Linked DNA regions of Drosophila melanogaster. The protein of the gene in region 3 interacts with the protein of the main gene of each other region in a pairwise test. Each region holds a gene or a part of one and is shown on either strand. Other genes may lie near its edges.

The links. Proteins that work in one complex are often made in the same cells at the same time.
Region 1: the proteins of CG14667 (region 3) and Klf15 interact in a two-hybrid assay, tested with the Drosophila melanogaster proteins (one large-scale study listed by BioGRID).
Region 2: the proteins of CG14667 (region 3) and Alp6 interact in a two-hybrid assay, tested with the Drosophila melanogaster proteins (one large-scale study listed by BioGRID).

The regions. Positions count from the first base shown.
Region 1 is NC_004354.4:4,768,805-4,773,761, forward strand, and holds Klf15 (Kruppel-like factor 15), read right to left. Parts: upstream 2,785-4,957; 5' UTR 2,714-2,784; coding exon 1,778-2,713; 3' UTR 1,753-1,777; downstream 1-1,752. Other genes in the region: CG15472 (uncharacterized protein), read right to left, coding at 365-1,270.
Region 2 is NT_033778.4:9,559,057-9,565,623, forward strand, and holds Alp6 (alkaline phosphatase 6), read left to right. Parts: upstream 1-2,581; 5' UTR 2,582-2,642; coding exon 2,643-2,712; exon of another isoform or gene 2,713-3,192; coding exon 3,193-4,349; exon of another isoform or gene 4,350-4,417; coding exon 4,418-4,738; 3' UTR 4,739-4,815; downstream 4,816-6,567. Other genes in the region: Or45b (odorant receptor 45b), read left to right, coding at 542-1,065, 1,124-1,311, 1,371-1,546, 1,604-1,702, 1,753-1,905, 1,962-2,012.
Region 3 is NT_033777.3:5,373,224-5,378,635, reverse strand, and holds CG14667 (uncharacterized protein), read right to left. Parts: upstream 3,615-5,412; 5' UTR 3,546-3,614; coding exon 3,420-3,545; intron 3,359-3,419; coding exon 2,712-3,358; intron 2,650-2,711; coding exon 2,536-2,649; intron 2,480-2,535; coding exon 2,353-2,479; 3' UTR 2,176-2,352; downstream 1-2,175. Other genes in the region: 7B2, read right to left, coding at 826-1,637, 1,686-1,704; hd (humpty dumpty), read left to right, coding at 4,139-4,186, 4,246-4,403, 4,461-5,412.

The DNA of each region.
Region 1 (4,957 bases), on a different chromosome or scaffold from region 3:
TGGGGCAATAATTGTTGTTGTTGTTGTTGTTGTTGTTGTTGTTTTTGTCGCTGAATCCTGCTGCGGGACGACTCCTTAAGGACTCCTGTGCCTCGCCAGTGTTTGCATAAAGTAAATGCCATTATACAAGCAAGTTGCGCTGTAAATTCACTTCAAATGTACAAAAGCACTCGCCCTGAAAGCCGTAAAGTATGCGATATGACAGTGCATAAAGGATGCAAGAGTTGCTGGAGAGGATCCTTCTTGGCGGCACAGTCCCGTTCCTCCTTCCTGCCCACCGCATGACAAATTCACATTCTTCTGCACACTCCGCTTTAATAAATGCAATTATAAGGTAAAAATAAACAAAATCTCAGGCTGCCGGTTATTCCAAAGGCTCATGCAGGATCAGTTCGAGATGGAGATGATGTTCTGCGCCACATATCTCCTTCAATTCTTGCTGCGTTATCAAAAGGGAATGCCGGTCCTTGGGCAGATCCTTGCCACCGATTTCGGTATACATTTGGCCCGAATTTGCCACACAACGCATGGCGCTCCGGCCAACCGACAAGGTGCTGTTGAATACGGTCATGGCAACGTGGAGTGGTCGGATGCAGGGTGCACTTTGGGTCCAAATTATCAAGATATCGGAGTCCATAATCTCTTCCTGCTCGGCTTCAGTGGTCGTCTTTAGATCGTTATTCTTTTGGCCACTATCGCACCTTTTGATCGATTCTTCACTGCATTTGGGATGCGTATCATTTGAGAAATCTAGATGTTTTACCTGCTTAAGATCTTTTGACTGTTTACCATTAAGATCTTCTTGCGATTCCATTTTTCTGTCCACAAGTGCCCAGCAGAGGAATGTTGTCCTCTTCACCAGCACCATAATGGGCAGATAGTCCTTCAGCGATTCCAGCCCCGAATCCTCTTTCAATCGATTGTGATAACAGAATTCTCGTTCTCCGGGTAATTGGCTATGCTTACCACGCACGCCGCCGTAAAGAAGAACTCCCAGACATATGGTCTGCGTTCCAATCAGCTGAGAAACATCAAAGACCAGGGTACAGCGTTCTCCGTTGAAGGCCACTTGCAAATGCTTTTTCACATTTGATCGGAAATGGCGTTGGGCCAAATGTTGGAGCATATCATCCTTGAAAACGGTGGAAATGCATTTTTCTATGGGACATTGTGCTGGCAGCTGACATAGATGGTTCAGTGTAAGTTTCGTTTGTTTTTCGGGCTCGGTACTGGAGAGGCCAATTAGTCTGAGTGGCTTATTTCGGTCCATATTTCTCGAATTGTGTTGAATGTTTTAAGTATATAAATATAATGTACGCTAATAAATTTTTTGAAGCTATGCAAACGGCCTACTGTTGTTGAAACATCACTGCTTAGTTGGATATAATTGCTCTGCCGCGTAAAATTAGCCTTTTTCATTATATTAATAAATTCGATTTAACTTTTGTAATGAATTAACTTCATGCGTGTAACCCTTTTTCTTTTTATTAAATCATATGCTCCTTTACTCTGCTAAATGAGTTTATCAATGGTTTATGATTTCCGTATTTAAATCAGCAAACACATTTCATTTATGTAAAACAGAGCAGCAAGTAATTATTACCATCAATATTCCCATTCGAAATAAAACTCTTGATAATTTTCCTAACAAAAGAAGGAATACTTCAGCTCTATTTTATGGATATGTTTCCCATGCGAACTAATCTTAAGTGATAAAAAAAAAAAAAATAGTACAAAACGTTAAAACTAACTCATCCATCGTGTCCTTGGAATGTGGTCATAACTGATTCTTTCGCTTTCGACCTGGTCGCACGGCATACAGATCGTCGGAGATCAGGGATCTGCCAGCTCTGGAGGCGGCCAGAAGACGTCTTTCGTGCACCTTACGATGCTTGGTGAGGTGATCCGACCTGGCGAAGCACTTGGAACAGTAGTCACATTTGTACGGCTTCACGCCGGAATGGGAGCGCTTGTGGCGGGCCAGTTCATCGGATCGGGAGAACCGCCAGACGCAATCTGGCCAACTGCAGACGTAGGGCTTCTCGCCTAGATGCCGCCTCAAATGGGCCTTCAGATGCGCGGGCTTGGCGTAGATCTTTTCGCAATTGCCAAAGGTGCACAGGTAACCCCGTTCGCCGGCGGCATTTTCACTCATCTGGAGGGCAGAAGGTGGGGCAACAGCTTCAGCTGGACTGGCGGAATCACTGCTGCCGGGCGAGGAAGACGATCGATCGGGAACGAAAATCTCTGAATGTGGTGGCCCCGACAGCCGCAGATTGCTGTTGCTCTCCTCCAGAAAGTCCGCACAGTTATCCGTGCACAGGGGAGTTCGTTCCGGCAGAAAGTCCACCAGGTCCGGAATCTCTACGTAGTTATCCAGCAGTCGCTGCTCCCAATCACTTAAGTCCGGCGGACATACGGTCAGGTCATTGAAGTCGATGAACAATGAAGGATCCTCCACGTGGGGCAGACCCACCTGGATATTCCCATTAGTATTTGTATTATTATTACTGTCCAATGTGATGATGCCATAATAATCCGACTCCTCGAATTCCAGCTGATTATAGTTGCCACCGGAAAAGCTAGTATCCACATAGGTGCTATCGAATTCCCCAACACTGACTATATTTAGCAGCGCATCGCCGCCGGCCAGTGGCTCCTCTTCCAAGTCGCTGTAAAGCTGCTGGAATCCACCCGTCGCAAAGAAGTCCATGATCGCAAATGAGCGGACTCCAGTCGAGTGTCCAAATATTTATAATATCCACGGACAATCCGGATGAGTGACAGGCGTCGGAAAAGTTGATGAGAGCCATTGAATCTGGTTGGGAATCGCAGGGCATATACCCTAAGTACTTAAAATCATATTGATATGTCATGAAAAGAATGTTTACTTAAATTGTTTCTTTTACAAGTACAATAGTATAGCATACCCTGCGATCTGCCTAGAACAATGGGTATCAAGAGATGCACTCATTGCGATCGTGGCTCGATTGCTTCCAGTGATTGGTGGCCAGGATCCCTTGGGGAATAATTAGCCGGCGAGCAACGTATCTAACGCGCTGCCGGCTTCATTAGTCCGAGACTGAGATAAAGATACATCCATACGTACGTACATATCCATTCGCACCAGATGTTGCGCGCATTGATCGGCGACACATGTGCCCGGGTTTTTGGTGGCCGGGTCCGGGAATCCGCAATGCTATCGAAATCGCTGACGGATGCCGAGTGCCAAGCAGTGTCAGGCCACAGATCGGCTAGCTATATTGCTATATATGTATAGCCGCGCGGCACCTGATCTCCCGCTTTCAGTGCGCCATCTCGCTCTTTTGTTTTTGTTTTGCTCGCCGGACAATCAATACAAATTTGTTATTAATTAATGATTATTACTAGCGAACTAGATATGCCCGGGGGATGGATATGGATATTCCCGGTCGATCATCAGTGTTTCGGTTCCAAGCAAAACAAGTGCGTTTCCTATGTGTGTCAAGTGGAGCCGCAGATATGGTTTTAAATTCACGGAAAGTTATCTGTTTGAAAATATTTTTCTGTTCGAAAATCATTTGGCTTGGCAACGGTCCATTTGCAGCATATGGTCAGTTGGAAAAGGTTGATAGCTAGTCATTTTTTTTTTTTTTTGACAACTCATTTCGTTCATATTTAATACAGACAGTGGTGTGCAATTTACAATTCACTTAAAGTGCATTGTAATGCGCAAGAATGCAGCATTAAAATGTGACCCTGCACGAGCTGTAATATAGTATTCCACCCATTTGCCTTCAACTAGACCCACCCGCCCCCTCGAACGTCTCATTTTCCGAGGCTGTCTGTGCCAGTTTCCAGTTTCCCTTAGCTTTTGCTCCTCGTCTATGCCATTTCCGCATCCTTTTTGGCTGGCAGCCCTTCGGAAATTAACATAAATTTAACGTGCGGCTGGCGTTTAAATTTACTTTCGCCTAATGAAATAATCAGCAGCTGTAAATCCTCATGGGCTGGTATGCCCCCCAACCCACCAATCACGACCAGTTTCACCAGTTTTTGGCGGCCTACGCGTTTTACGCTAATTGATATTGCAAAAATCAAAGGCTGCGCGCCGGCATTAAAGGGATTTAAAGGATATCAACTGGTCTGCGGGTCTGGGACTCGGGACTTGGGATTCTGTATTCCGGATACCGGATTCTGTATTCTCAATTGTGGAGTCTGGCTGTGAGTTCGACTCTGGCACTTTGTAATTACAGCAGGGTATTGCGACTCTGATTTCTGTATATGTGCATAGAATTTCCCTTTGTGTGGCCTCAGTGGAGTGGCAAGGATAACATAAATTAGAATGCTGCCTGCAGGCAGTTCTGGTATTTAGCCGTAGTGCCTGGTCGTCCACTTACTTACAGATTCGTAGGCCAATACAAACATGCACCGGTGGAAACAGGTAGCAGGACATAAAAAGATATATAACTTCGATTGTAAATAAGGTTCGCCTTTGAAACCATTTTGCAGCATATTAATTAAATTCCGAAATATTTGAAATCAAGTGGTTTTTAGATGAGGTTAGTCCGCCCAGCAATTGCAAAAAGGAATTTTCCTGCAGTGTTTTGGGAATGTGTAACCACATCTATCTATCCATCTATCTGCAAATAAATTTCTCCGTTCAAATGTGTGCGTGTGTGTCTGTGTGTGTGCGCACCGCAAGTGTCATAACGGAAATTATGCATACAATTTTACTGTAAATTGCACTCGGCAAAATGTTGTCACCTCAGTTTAATCATAGCACCCAGAACTCGAAACTCCCACTCATTTAAGCCGGACATTTTGAAGCCGTTTGCAAGTATTTACGAAGCAAATCCGAGGACTTAAAGCCGACAACCGGACGATATTATTGCCAAAGTGTCCTCGTTGTCCTGGCAGCAGTCAAATGAGCTAAGCAGTTGTCAGGATATACAAAGTAAGTACATCCATATAGAAG
Region 2 (6,567 bases), on a different chromosome or scaffold from region 3:
ATAAAACTGTCATAGCTCAAGTCGCATTAGTTTGCTAATGGATTTTGACATTAAGATAATTTAATAAAATATATATAGATAGTATTTGGTACATAAAACTAAAATAGTTCTTATTAACCTTAAGAACGAAAACTAGTACGCATACTTGATCATATATATATATAAAGTATTGATATTTATTTCCATTTTAAAACAATTGAAGAGGATTCTTATGTAACAAATGTATCTTAGAAATACCTTAGAATATCTTCAGATTTGACTTACGAGCTTGACAGCTGTCTTCAACTGTTGTAGCAATCACAAATATCAAACGATATCAACGGATTAAGGGAACCTTTTTTAATTATAAGGGCTGGCTCATTACCATAATAACATGTTTTGAACGTCAGAGATCGTCGCCCACTCAATTATGTCCTTCAAGTAATCCCGTCATTAAACACGACCAGGTGTCGTTTGTTCGGACTGCAAAACAATTATTAAACCATTAGGAGGTATGAATGGGGCGCTATATAAGGAAAGGGTTCTGTAAGCGGTTAAAATCATGTATCCGCGATTCCTCAGCCGTAACTATCCGCTGGCCAAGCATTTGTTCTTCGTCACCAGATACTCCTTTGGCCTGCTGGGCCTGAGATTTGGCAAAGAGCAATCGTGGCTTCACCTCTTGTGGCTGGTGTTCAATTTCGTTAACCTGGCGCACTGCTGCCAGGCGGAGTTCGTCTTCGGCTGGAGTCACTTGCGCACCAGTCCCGTGGATGCCATGGACGCCTTTTGTCCTCTGGCCTGCAGTTTCACCACGCTCTTCAAGCTGGGATGGATGTGGTGGCGTCGCCAGGAAGTAGCTGATCTAATGGACCGCATCCGCTTGCTCATCGGGGAGCAGGAGAAGAGGGAGGACTCCCGGAGAAAGGTGGCTCAAAGGAGCTACTATCTCATGGTCACCAGGTGCGGTATGCTGGTCTTCACCCTGGGCAGCATTACCACTGGAGCCTTCGTTCTGCGTTCCCTTTGGGAAATGTGGGTGCGTCGTCATCAGGAGTTCAAATTCGATATGCCCTTTCGCATGCTGTGTGTGATGTTGTAGCATGTCAGTGAGGATTAGATGTTCTGATTAGATGTTCCACAGGTTCCACGACTTTGCGCATCGCATGCCCTGGTTTCCAGTTTTCTATCTCTACTCCACATGGAGTGGCCAGGTCACTGTGTACGCCTTTGCTGGTACAGATGGTTTCTTCTTTGGCTTTACCCTCTACATGGCCTTCTTGCTGCAGGCCTTAAGATACGATATCCAGGATGCCCTCAAGCCAATAAGAGGTGGATGGTCCATTATGCATATGGCTAACATTAAATTCGGGTGTATACTTTCTAAATAGATCCCTCGCTTAGGGAATCCAAAATCTGCTGTCAGCGATTGGCGGACATCGTGGATCGCCACAATGAGATAGAGAAGATAGTCAAGGAATTTTCTGGAATTATGGCTGCTCCAACTTTTGTTCACTTCGTATCAGCCAGCTTAGTGATAGCCACCAGCGTCATTGATATACTATTGGTAATAGCCGTCCTTTTAAGTGATAAGCACACTAACTCAAACCAATAGTTTCTATAGTATTCCGGCTATAACATCATCCGTTACGTGGTGTACACCTTCACGGTTTCCTCGGCCATCTTCCTCTATTGCTACGGAGGCACAGAAATGTCAACTGAGGTGGGACAGGTCGAGTCTCTTGATTAACCTTTGACCTCTTTCATTTCTAGAGCCTTTCCTTGGGAGAAGCAGCCTACAGCAGTGCCTGGTATACTTGGGATCGAGAGACCCGCAGGCGGGTCTTTCTCATTATCCTGCGTGCTCAACGACCCATTACGGTGAGGGTGCCCTTTTTTGCACCATCGTTACCAGTCTTCACATCGGTGGGTTATAATCTGTATGGCACTTAGTGCAATCCACTAATGAAACCCTTTTTTAGGTCATCAAGTTTACAGGTTCGATTGTGGCACTGGCTAAGACGATACTGTGAAAAAGAGTGTTGAATTAAAAAATAACCAAGTACTTAAATTTAATAGCTACTATTTTGTATTAGTTTGTGGTTGCAGCCTAGCCCAAAAGTATGCAATTTACACAATACATATACAATTGTGCAGACTCGAAGTCAATTAATTGCCGGGGTCAAGGGTTCAAATGTGGGATTAAAGGGCTTGCCGTAAAGTTTGAACCATAAAGTTTTCTAGTAGCAGTGAAACCATTTATTCTTCATCGTTTAACAAAGCTACTGGCATGATTCAATAAATTTGAGTGCAATAAGTTAGCAATGTTTAAAAGTTGAGGCAAACAGGATTGCCCCGGCTTCAGATTGATTACGTAGGTCGTAGTATACGCAATCGGTTAATGGACAGAGAATCAAAGCCATAAGAAAGGCACGTGAGTGTGTTTTGGCATCGGTTTCGGTCTGTTCTACGACTTCTGTCAACTTAAACTTGGCCAGCCATAAATGATGATTTGATTGAACCGTCTAGATTAGTTTCCTTTGATTAGATTTACTCTGATACTGAGCGATAGCTCCGAGGCAGCGCCCAGTTCCTTGGTCGGTCAGTCGGTTTAGTCTTTAACCAAGGTCTGACCTCCACACCACGCCTGGGATTAGCTGAAAATGGCCAGGAGATTCATTCTGTTGCTCGTCTTAGCTGTCTGCCTGAGCGGAAGTGCCAGCGGACAAAGAGGTAAGGTGCTCTGAAGCTGGATTTTAGAACTCAGCGATACCTCAAAAGTGTTTTTATTTAGAATAGTTCGAAAATGTTTAGGTATTTGAATTTATTTTGTTTTGTACGCCAGTTCAGGGAATTTATTTTACAAGCAGCTTAACTATTTAGATAACTACGAGTATAAAAACATGTCAGATTTTATGTTTGTCCTCCCAAAGGATGTGTTATTTTGACTGGCGCTGACTTGAGATTCAGCGTGCAGGACGAGGTACTTTGAGATTAAGTTCTTTAAAATAACTTCTTATCTTCCAAGTTTACTTGAAAAAAATGTGTAGAGGAGATAAGACTCAAATAATCCCATTGATATATAACAGAAAATCCAAACCCAAAATTATTTATGATCCTTCTATTTTTTGACCAATGCTAATAGTTATATTGGCTTATCGGAAACCTCTTATTGTTATAGTAATTATTGAACTATTTTGCCATTCTTTTCAGACCACCCTCGTGGGCGTTCCTTTGATGCCGAATCGCATCCGATCAAGTATGCAGAGGAGCAGCAGACCCAGTACTGGGTGGATAAGGCCCAGGCGAAGCTGTTATCGAAGCTGGCCGAGCAGGAGTCCGCGACCACAAACAAGGCGAAGAACGTGATTCTGTTCCTGGGCGATGGAATGTCCGTTCACACGGTCACGGCCACCAGGAATCTGCTAGGCGACAGTGCGGAGCAGGTGTACTTTGAGGGATTTCCCTACACTGGCTTGTCCAAGACCTACTGCGTAAACCGCCAGGTGGCCGATTCTGCTTGCACGGCCACCGCCTATTTGGGCGGTGTGAAGGCGAACTATGGAACGATTGGCGTTAACGCCAATGTGTCCAGGTACAGCTGTGATGGCGCCGCCAACGAGGAGGATCGGGTGCTCAGCATCGCGCATTGGGCACAGGCGGCTGGCAAGGATGCAGGTCTGGTGACTACAGCCCGGGTAACTCATGCATCCCCAGCTGGTGTTTATGCCCACATCGCGGATCGCAATTGGGAGAACGACTGGGAGGTGGCCAACAGGGAGTGCGATCCCGAGCAGACCATCGATATTGCCCGTCAGCTCGTGGAGCAGCCTGTGGGTCAGCAGCTGAAGGTAATCCTTGGAGGCGGTCGCAAGAACTTCATCGACGCAACGGTAAATGATGAGGAGGGTTATCCCGGCAAGCGTACCGACGGTCGTCACTTAATCCGCAGTTGGTTGGATCAGAAGAAGGAGGCCAATGTCTCAGCCAAATACGTGTGGAGTCGCAAGGGACTCAGTCTGGTGGATCTCGAGAATACGGACTACCTATTGGGTCTCTTTGCCAATGATCATCTGCCGTACAACGGTGATCGGGACAGGAAACGTAGTCAGTTGGCGGATCCTTCGCTGAGTGAGCTCACGGAGGCTGCCATCACGGTGTTGAGCCGCAATGACAAGGGATTCTTTCTCTTCGTCGAGGGTGCTCGTATCGACATGGCCCACCACGATACCTTCGCCAAGAGATCCCTCGAGGATACCGCCGAGTTTGCGAGGGCTGTCCAGAAGGCTCGCGAACTTACCTCCGAGGATGACACACTGATCGTGGTGACCGCTGATCATGCTCATGTTATGTCCATCAATGGTTATCCTGTGAGTACTTGAAAGTTTCCTTTCTAACAGCGATAGGTATTTGACTTATGATTTCTGAATTCCGGCAGTATCGTGACCAGGAGATCACCGGATTGGCTCAACTGGCGGATGATAATCTGCCCTATACGATTTTGTCCTATGCCAATGGACCTGGCTACTACTCCGGCTACAATCGCGCTGAGGGACGTGCCCTTCTAAAGGAGAAGTTGGTTGCGGACTCAGACTATCAGTATCCCACGCTGGCGCCCTTGGACGCAGAAACCCACGGAGGAGATGATGTGGCGGTGTATGCCTCGGGACCCTATGCCCAGTACTTCAGTGGCAACTACGAGCAAAGCAATATTCCGGCGCTGATGGCCAGAGCAGCGGGTATCGGGCCCTATGCCTAGGATTTGGCTGATTTTCTTGGCGCATGTAAAACTCCTCTCGCTGAGATGGAATAATTAAAATGCATCATTGCTAAACGAATCTTGCATGGGAAACTGTACCGGGAATGGGGCAAATCGAATTCCGTCTAATTGAACTGACAAGCTGTGCAATTTCCTGTGGAGCAGGGGAGCTGCCCCCCCAATAAATGCCACCTGACGGCAAATTCAATTAACTAGCAATGGCAACTGGCATCTGACAACCTGCAGGCAGCCTCAATCAGTCAGCTGCAATCACTTTGGGGCTGAGCCAATTGACCAGGTGGTTTCTGGCCAAATGAAGAGAGAAACGCGGCCAGAAAGAATGGCCAGCCATCAGCCATTATATGTTTCATCATAAATCCCAGAAAATATGACATTCAAATGGAATCCATCGACAATCCGTGCATTTCCTGCTTTAAAGATGGCTATGAATATCTAAGTGGATTTATTTAAAATGGGCTTTGACTGTCAAAGAAATACATTCAATGGATTCAGGTTGGAATCGTCAGCAAGGTAACAAAAATCAGCGCTGAAAATCCTCCTGGAAAAAATTTATCATATCTTTCCGAAGGATAAGGCTTTAAAATTAACATTTTTCCCATATTTTCAATCGCACCTCTATAAGAATGTTTCATTTTGGATTCAGTTAATGCATAGTGTTCCAGTTTTATATGGATATTTCGGGACCCTGGAGTCTCAAACTCCATTTTGCATCATTTTGATCTTTTGAACCTATTATCAAATAATTTCCCATTGAAACTCCCGTTCGAATGATTGAATTAGGATTCCCATTTGGTGTCAACATGCGATGATTGACGATTCCGAAAGGCGAACAGAAATATTTGGTAATGGGTTGTGTTCCATTTCCGATTTCACTTGGCCTGCGACAGAATTTTATTTTCGGCCAATTTCCGCTACAATTTCTGTTTAAGAGGAGCCTCAGTTTACCGAGTCTCGATTTGTGTGGTCAAGAGAAGGCCCAGTTTCGACTGGACTGCACCTAATCATAGGGTTTTTGGCCAAAGCGGCAGTGCAACGGGCCTAGAGAAACTGAAACTGGGTCATCATGACCCAAGTGCTGGCTAATGGGGAGGGGGCGGGTGCGCTGGCGGGTACCAAATAGCTCCAAAGAAATGCAGCTGCGGTCTGGTTCTTGGATATTCCAACGCAAGGCGGGGGGGTTCTACCAATTATGTATATCTGTATCTGCAGGGACAGAAGAAGAGAAAAAACTAATGGCAGCATACACAAAATGTGCTCACAACTAATGGTTGCTGCTTTAGCTGACTCAGCCAAGAAGCTTGCCGCAAAGATACAAAGATACGCCGTCACAGATACAAAAAACACGTGACTGTGTTGGAGCAAACTGGACTGAACTGGCGAGCTTTTTAACGAAACTCCATATCCGTCTCTCTCGCACGGCGCGCGCGCACTTCTAAGCCGATTCAAATGGCCATGTAGAGCCACAAAGCTGCAGCGCCGCTCTTTCGCTTTTTGTATCTTTCGGATACATGCGACGCGGATTGGGGGCCACATAATGTACGGCCAGGGCAGTAGGGGAATTTTTTGCTTTTGCGCAGCGACGTCGGCAGAGCGCTAAGTGTGCCACATTCTGTTTCCAAGCGCTCTCACAGATACGCCACACACACTCGTGCAGCTCGGTGGGCATTTTTTACTCTACACTATACACTCGACAAAAATAAGCTTAGTCAACCGAAAGAATTGCCAATGAAAAGTGTTAGTAACTTTAAGCTTAAATGAAATTTATATTGGTTAGCTATATGTTTATTTCAAAAATGTAGTAGAAACGA
Region 3 (5,412 bases):
GACCCGCCCATCCTAGACGTAGAGCTAAGTTAGACCTAGGTAACTTGTTAACGAATTCCGCCTCTTTCCATCAACTGCCTAAACTTAAGACTAAGCCAATACCTAGAATTGTAGTCAGAAGGAAGGATTGTGTTGTATAGTATGTATAGGGACGCGAGTGAGAGCCAGGACACTCTGGCTCAGAAGGATCAGGTCGTTCATAAGGCTTCATGGCAACAGAACGAACATTATGCTTAGCTAATCACACTGCCAGTGTCGATGTGTGCCAATAATTGGGTGGCTGATCGCCCACTGTGGCAGCAACATTCATGCGATGTACTATACTATCATTTGTTAGGTTATCTTTAAGTCAATACCCGCGTGGATCATCCGAAACACGCGGCCAGTGCATGCTGACACAAAATACTCAACGTGGAGCTGAACCGCAGTGGCCTATTTGTACACTCGACGACATATCGAGGATAGTTCTTTTTAAATGAATAATCATTGATGATTTGATGGATTGTAAAACTTTTTAAAACAATAAATAGAAGCATCAAACAGATATTCGATATTTCTCACTCTCATCAAACTTGGGTCATCCCAAGGATAAGCTACATCCGAACCCACCTTCGGTAGTGGAGACCCTACCCCAAGTTTAGACCAATACCCGCATATTTTCGGCTTAGAGCCCTGGTACTATACGAATAACTTTATTTTCGGGAAAGGGTAGAAACATTACTAGACATCGCTTGCGGGACAACATTGATAACCAGCTATGATAGATAATAGTATTAGACACCCATATGGAAACGTCGTGTATGCTCGCGTTATCAGCGAGTTACCTTAGTGGAATAAAAGGTTGCCCTTCTTGGCGGCTATGGGCAAGCGGTCGCCCTGGAGGAACGGGTTTATGACCGCGTCGTCCAGCCGAGGATCGGGCATCACAGGATATCCGGCCTTCTTAGCCAGGCTGTTAACGTTGTTCAGGCTGTTCTCCTGGCCCATCTGCATGATGTACTGCTCCACGGCGGAGTTCAGGTCACCCTTGTCGCCGCCCACATCAGCACTATCCTGTTCCGAGCAGTCGAACATATGCTCGTTGTCGCAGGTACAGTCCTGAGCGGCCTGGAACTCCCGGCTGAAGATGGCCGTGTTTTCGAAGTCGACAATGCAGCTGCCGCCTTGCGTCTCCATGTCGTAGCCCTCAGGGCAGGGATTAGGAGGGTTGCAGTAGGCAGGCAGGCCGGCGTCGTTCTTCACTATAGTGGGATACCTGTTGGGACCCTCTCCCATTCCGCCGGAGATGAACTGGTGACCCCACAGCGAACTGTGCTGCAGAAACTCGTCATCCCGCAGCGAAGGATGGGAGGCAGCTCCCGATGCCGAGCCCGATTGCAGGATGCAGTCGCTTCCGCCGTCACACAGCCTCGCGTACTCCGACCGGGAGACCAGGTCCACGTTGTCCTTGGAGCCAGCGGCTGCCTCGTTGCCCACGTCGTAATAGCCCACCTGCATGTCTTTGTCCATGCGATTCAGCAGATCCGTCATCAAGACATCGGCAAGAATATCCTTGGCGCTATAGGACTGCACCTGGTAGCCACTCAAGGCGACCACGAGCATCGCCACCATCATGTACACACCTGGAAAAACATGGGCTATTCTCTTACCTCACCCACCTATAAATATTACTTCAGCAGACTTACTTTGCGAACGGAACAACATATTGCGATTCCAAGCGGTTTCAACCGTCCACGTCGAAGTTTGGTAAGGTATTGATTTTTCGGCGGCAGCTGCTCCGATTCCGTGTATATACTAACGTGACGTAGGGCTCTGTGCTTCGTGCGGCGGCTACCAGTTGAATTTGCGAAATATACGCAGATCCAATCGAAGCTGCCTTATGGCAGCCACAGCTGAAAGGACGCATGCGCCGTACTCGAAAGCTCTTTTATGTTGAAGCAGTCCTGTGGGGGGCCGAGAATTAGATTAGCGCCAAACTGCTGGAGCTGAGGTTTTCAGGCCTCTTTAAGCTTTATTAGTATAAAATGCTGGAAGAAAATAAGAAAACTTAGTCGCTAAGAAAACTTTATTTTCTTGAATTGTATGACTAGAGGTTTATGTTACACGGTAATACGCTATAAATTTCCATTCCCTCCTTAATTTAAAAGTATGAACTATAAAAAATGACTTGAAAGTAAAACTGAAGGAATTTTATTTTCAATAAATTAAAAATACACTTATAAAAAAATAACATTGAACCGATACTCCATTGTCGAATATTATGGTAGCGAAGTAGTAAACTGAACTACTCAATTATGATTTATTTTTTTGACCTTAGCATTTACTTAGAAAGAAGGTGGTAATAATTGAGGGTTAGGTTGCCAATTCGATGAAATCGAATTCATCCTGCATATATTTGGCAAGGCGCTTATGCGGTGCTGTTTTTGTATGGGCCACCAAGCCTCGGCGAGTTATAAAATCCATGTTGCAAGGCTCACACCTAAACGCAAAAAATACGATATTAAGACATATGACTGCGCAAGCTGACAAGCTTACCTGAACTTTCGGATTTGCTTTGAGTGTGTCGAAAAGTGGTTCTGCAATTCGGAAACGCTGCTGAAGATCATTCCGCATTCTAGGCATGGATAAGGTCGTTCGTTCTTATGGGCTCTAAAATGAAATTGGAAGTTGCATATAGTGCTGCGCTAGCATTCAATTCCCAGCCTCCTTACTTGTCGTGCCGCAACTTAGCGCCCAGAGACGCGAAAGCCTCGTGGCAGATGGTGCACTGGAACCTGCGGTTAATTAAATGAACCTGGGTGCGATGCTGCTTGAGAAGCGCCTTCTTGTTAAAAGTCTGTGGGCACTCAGGGCAGGGGAAGAACTGGTTCATATCCCGCCGGTTCTGGTGCCCATTTAAATGCTCGGTGTACAGGAACGCATCGTGGAACAGGGTTCCACACTCGTCGCAGATAAAGAAGTTACTGCGCCTCTTGGCGGCCCGCTCCATTTCCTGCTCCTGTAGATCCTCCTGCTGCGCCGCTTCTGCTGCCGCCTCTGCTGCCGCTATCACAGCGGCAGAGGGGTCGTCATCCAGCTCGATTTCCTCTAGGTCTTGGTGTTCCTCTTTCGTGCCTTGATAACAAACGTACTGGTCGTCATCGTAGTGCGTCTCCAATTGATCCGCATCGATCAGTTGCTCGTCCAGCGGCTCGGAACTAAGCTCAACGTGAACAGTGCTTTGATCACTGGTCTTCTTTATGATATCCAGCAGGTACTTTTGCGAGAAGATGCACCGCTCGCGGAACTTGGTGGCCAGGTCCAGCTCGGAGAAGCAGCGCTCGCAAACAATCTCCGGCAGCCCCTGGTTTCTTGTCAGCTGAACAAATTCCAGGTAATAACAATTGTTGGCGCGGTCGGAAGCTGACATAACGACCTACCTCCACTCCCGTGATTAGCTTCAGTTGACCCAAATATTTTCCCCGCATGTGAATGAATATGTTGCGATCTCGCTGGTGGCCCATAATTTTGTTGGCGCAAATACGGCAAACGTCGGCGAGGTTCATTGTTTATCAAGTTAATGTGTTTACTTTTAGCATAAAACGCAGCGACGGAAAGTGTTACCAGATCATAAAACAGTTGGAAAAACGACAGTGCTTAATCGATTTGTTATCGGTGAATCCGATAGTCAGATACATTTTTATAGCGCAAAAAGATTTTTTATTCATTTGATTTTATTAATAGTTAAAACGATACAACATGCGCTTGTTTAATTTAGGTTAGAAGCTTGTAAATCCAAAAAGAACCATTAAAATTAAAAAATCAAATTCGATGCCCAACAATGCCATTGTTAACCAACATAGCCCCTGCAGCCAGTGATATACAATTTAAGTTAGTTTCGTTTTGTAAACTACTCCATCTATTATAATAAATAATTAGTTAAATTGTGAGATTCGTTTTATTTGCCGACTAACGATATTTTTGGGAATTGAACATGGGCGAAAATAGCGAATAACGAGCTAATCAATCGAAAGATTTCACACCCCTAGTTGCGCGCCATAATTTTTTGTGATATTTGCAAACGTTTTGAAGATATTTGCAGTTCACAAAGTACTTAAATAATCCGTGAAGGTCCTGTGCGCGAACCAAGACATTGAACATGTCCACCGAAGCGAGTGTGGCTTCCAAATGGACGCGCCCAGATGACGTGGGTAAGGACTCGGAGGAGCACCTGCCCGCCACTAATGTTGTTGTTTCGTTTTCCAGTTCATCAAACTGCAGCGGCTCAAGCAGAAGAAGAACAAATTGGCAGCCCGCGTGAGCAACAACAACAATAGGCGGCCAAGACACCAAGTGGATGAGACGGATAAAAGCAAGCTACTGGAGGCTAAGCTCGCCCAGAAGCGAAAAAATCCGTTTGCGAAGTGAGTTTCCCTCTCTCTCGCTCTCCCCAAAATCCAATTACTGACTCCCTGCCTCAGATCCACAGCTGATGCCAAGAAACTGCGCGTTGATCCGCAACTGGCGGACCTCGAACCAGTGGTCACTGCCTCCTCCTGCTTTGTGCGGGAAACGCCCACGCGCCCGGCGCCCGCCAAATTCGTGCTCCAGAAGTACGACCCGCAGGCCTTTGCCAAGCTCTTCCAGCATCCCCAAATCAACGCTGAGGACGAGGACGATGCGGAGTTGGCCGCCCGGCAGAAGCACACCGCCCACCTACCTGTGGACTGGTCCCTGAAGACGCGAGCCCGTTTCTTCTGTCCCACGGAACTGCCTGCCATCCAACTGAAGACCTCGCAGCTGGCCAGCGGACTCACCAGCTTCGTGCGCTGCATGGACCCGCAGCGAACGGAGAGCACGCTGGATATCTCGGACGCAACGCGGTTCAACCAATGCAATTACTACTGGCAGCACCCGCACCTGCCCTGGCTGACGCTCTACCCGCGCACCGCCAAGGAGAACGTGGGCGTGGTGGTGGGTGAGCGGGAGCGCAAGGCCCTGGCCGAGGAGTGGGACTTCAGCTTCCGGGGCCTATTTCAGCTGCTGCGTGCCCGCCAGTGCCCGTACTTCTACCTGTGTGCCAACACTTTTACGGTGCTGTTCCGAGCTGCCGGAGTTGGCGGTCGGCCGGAGAGCCACGCCTTGGTCACGCCGTCGACTCGGGGAATGCGGCAAGCTCTGCGACAGGAGGGGATCGAGTTCAGCATGCCTCTTAAGAGCGATAACAGTGGAAACGCGCACGACAACAGTTTTAACGAGGAGAGCACTACCACCTCGCTAGGTCCAGAAGCGGGCGAAGATGCTCCTCCGCCGGCACAGGAAGATGAAGACGACGACGAGGACTGGCTGGAGAGCTTGGGCGTGGATGAGCGTGAGCTGCGACGTATCCAGTCCTCCCATGCCAGGAAGCAACAAGCTGCCGAAATGCGAGAG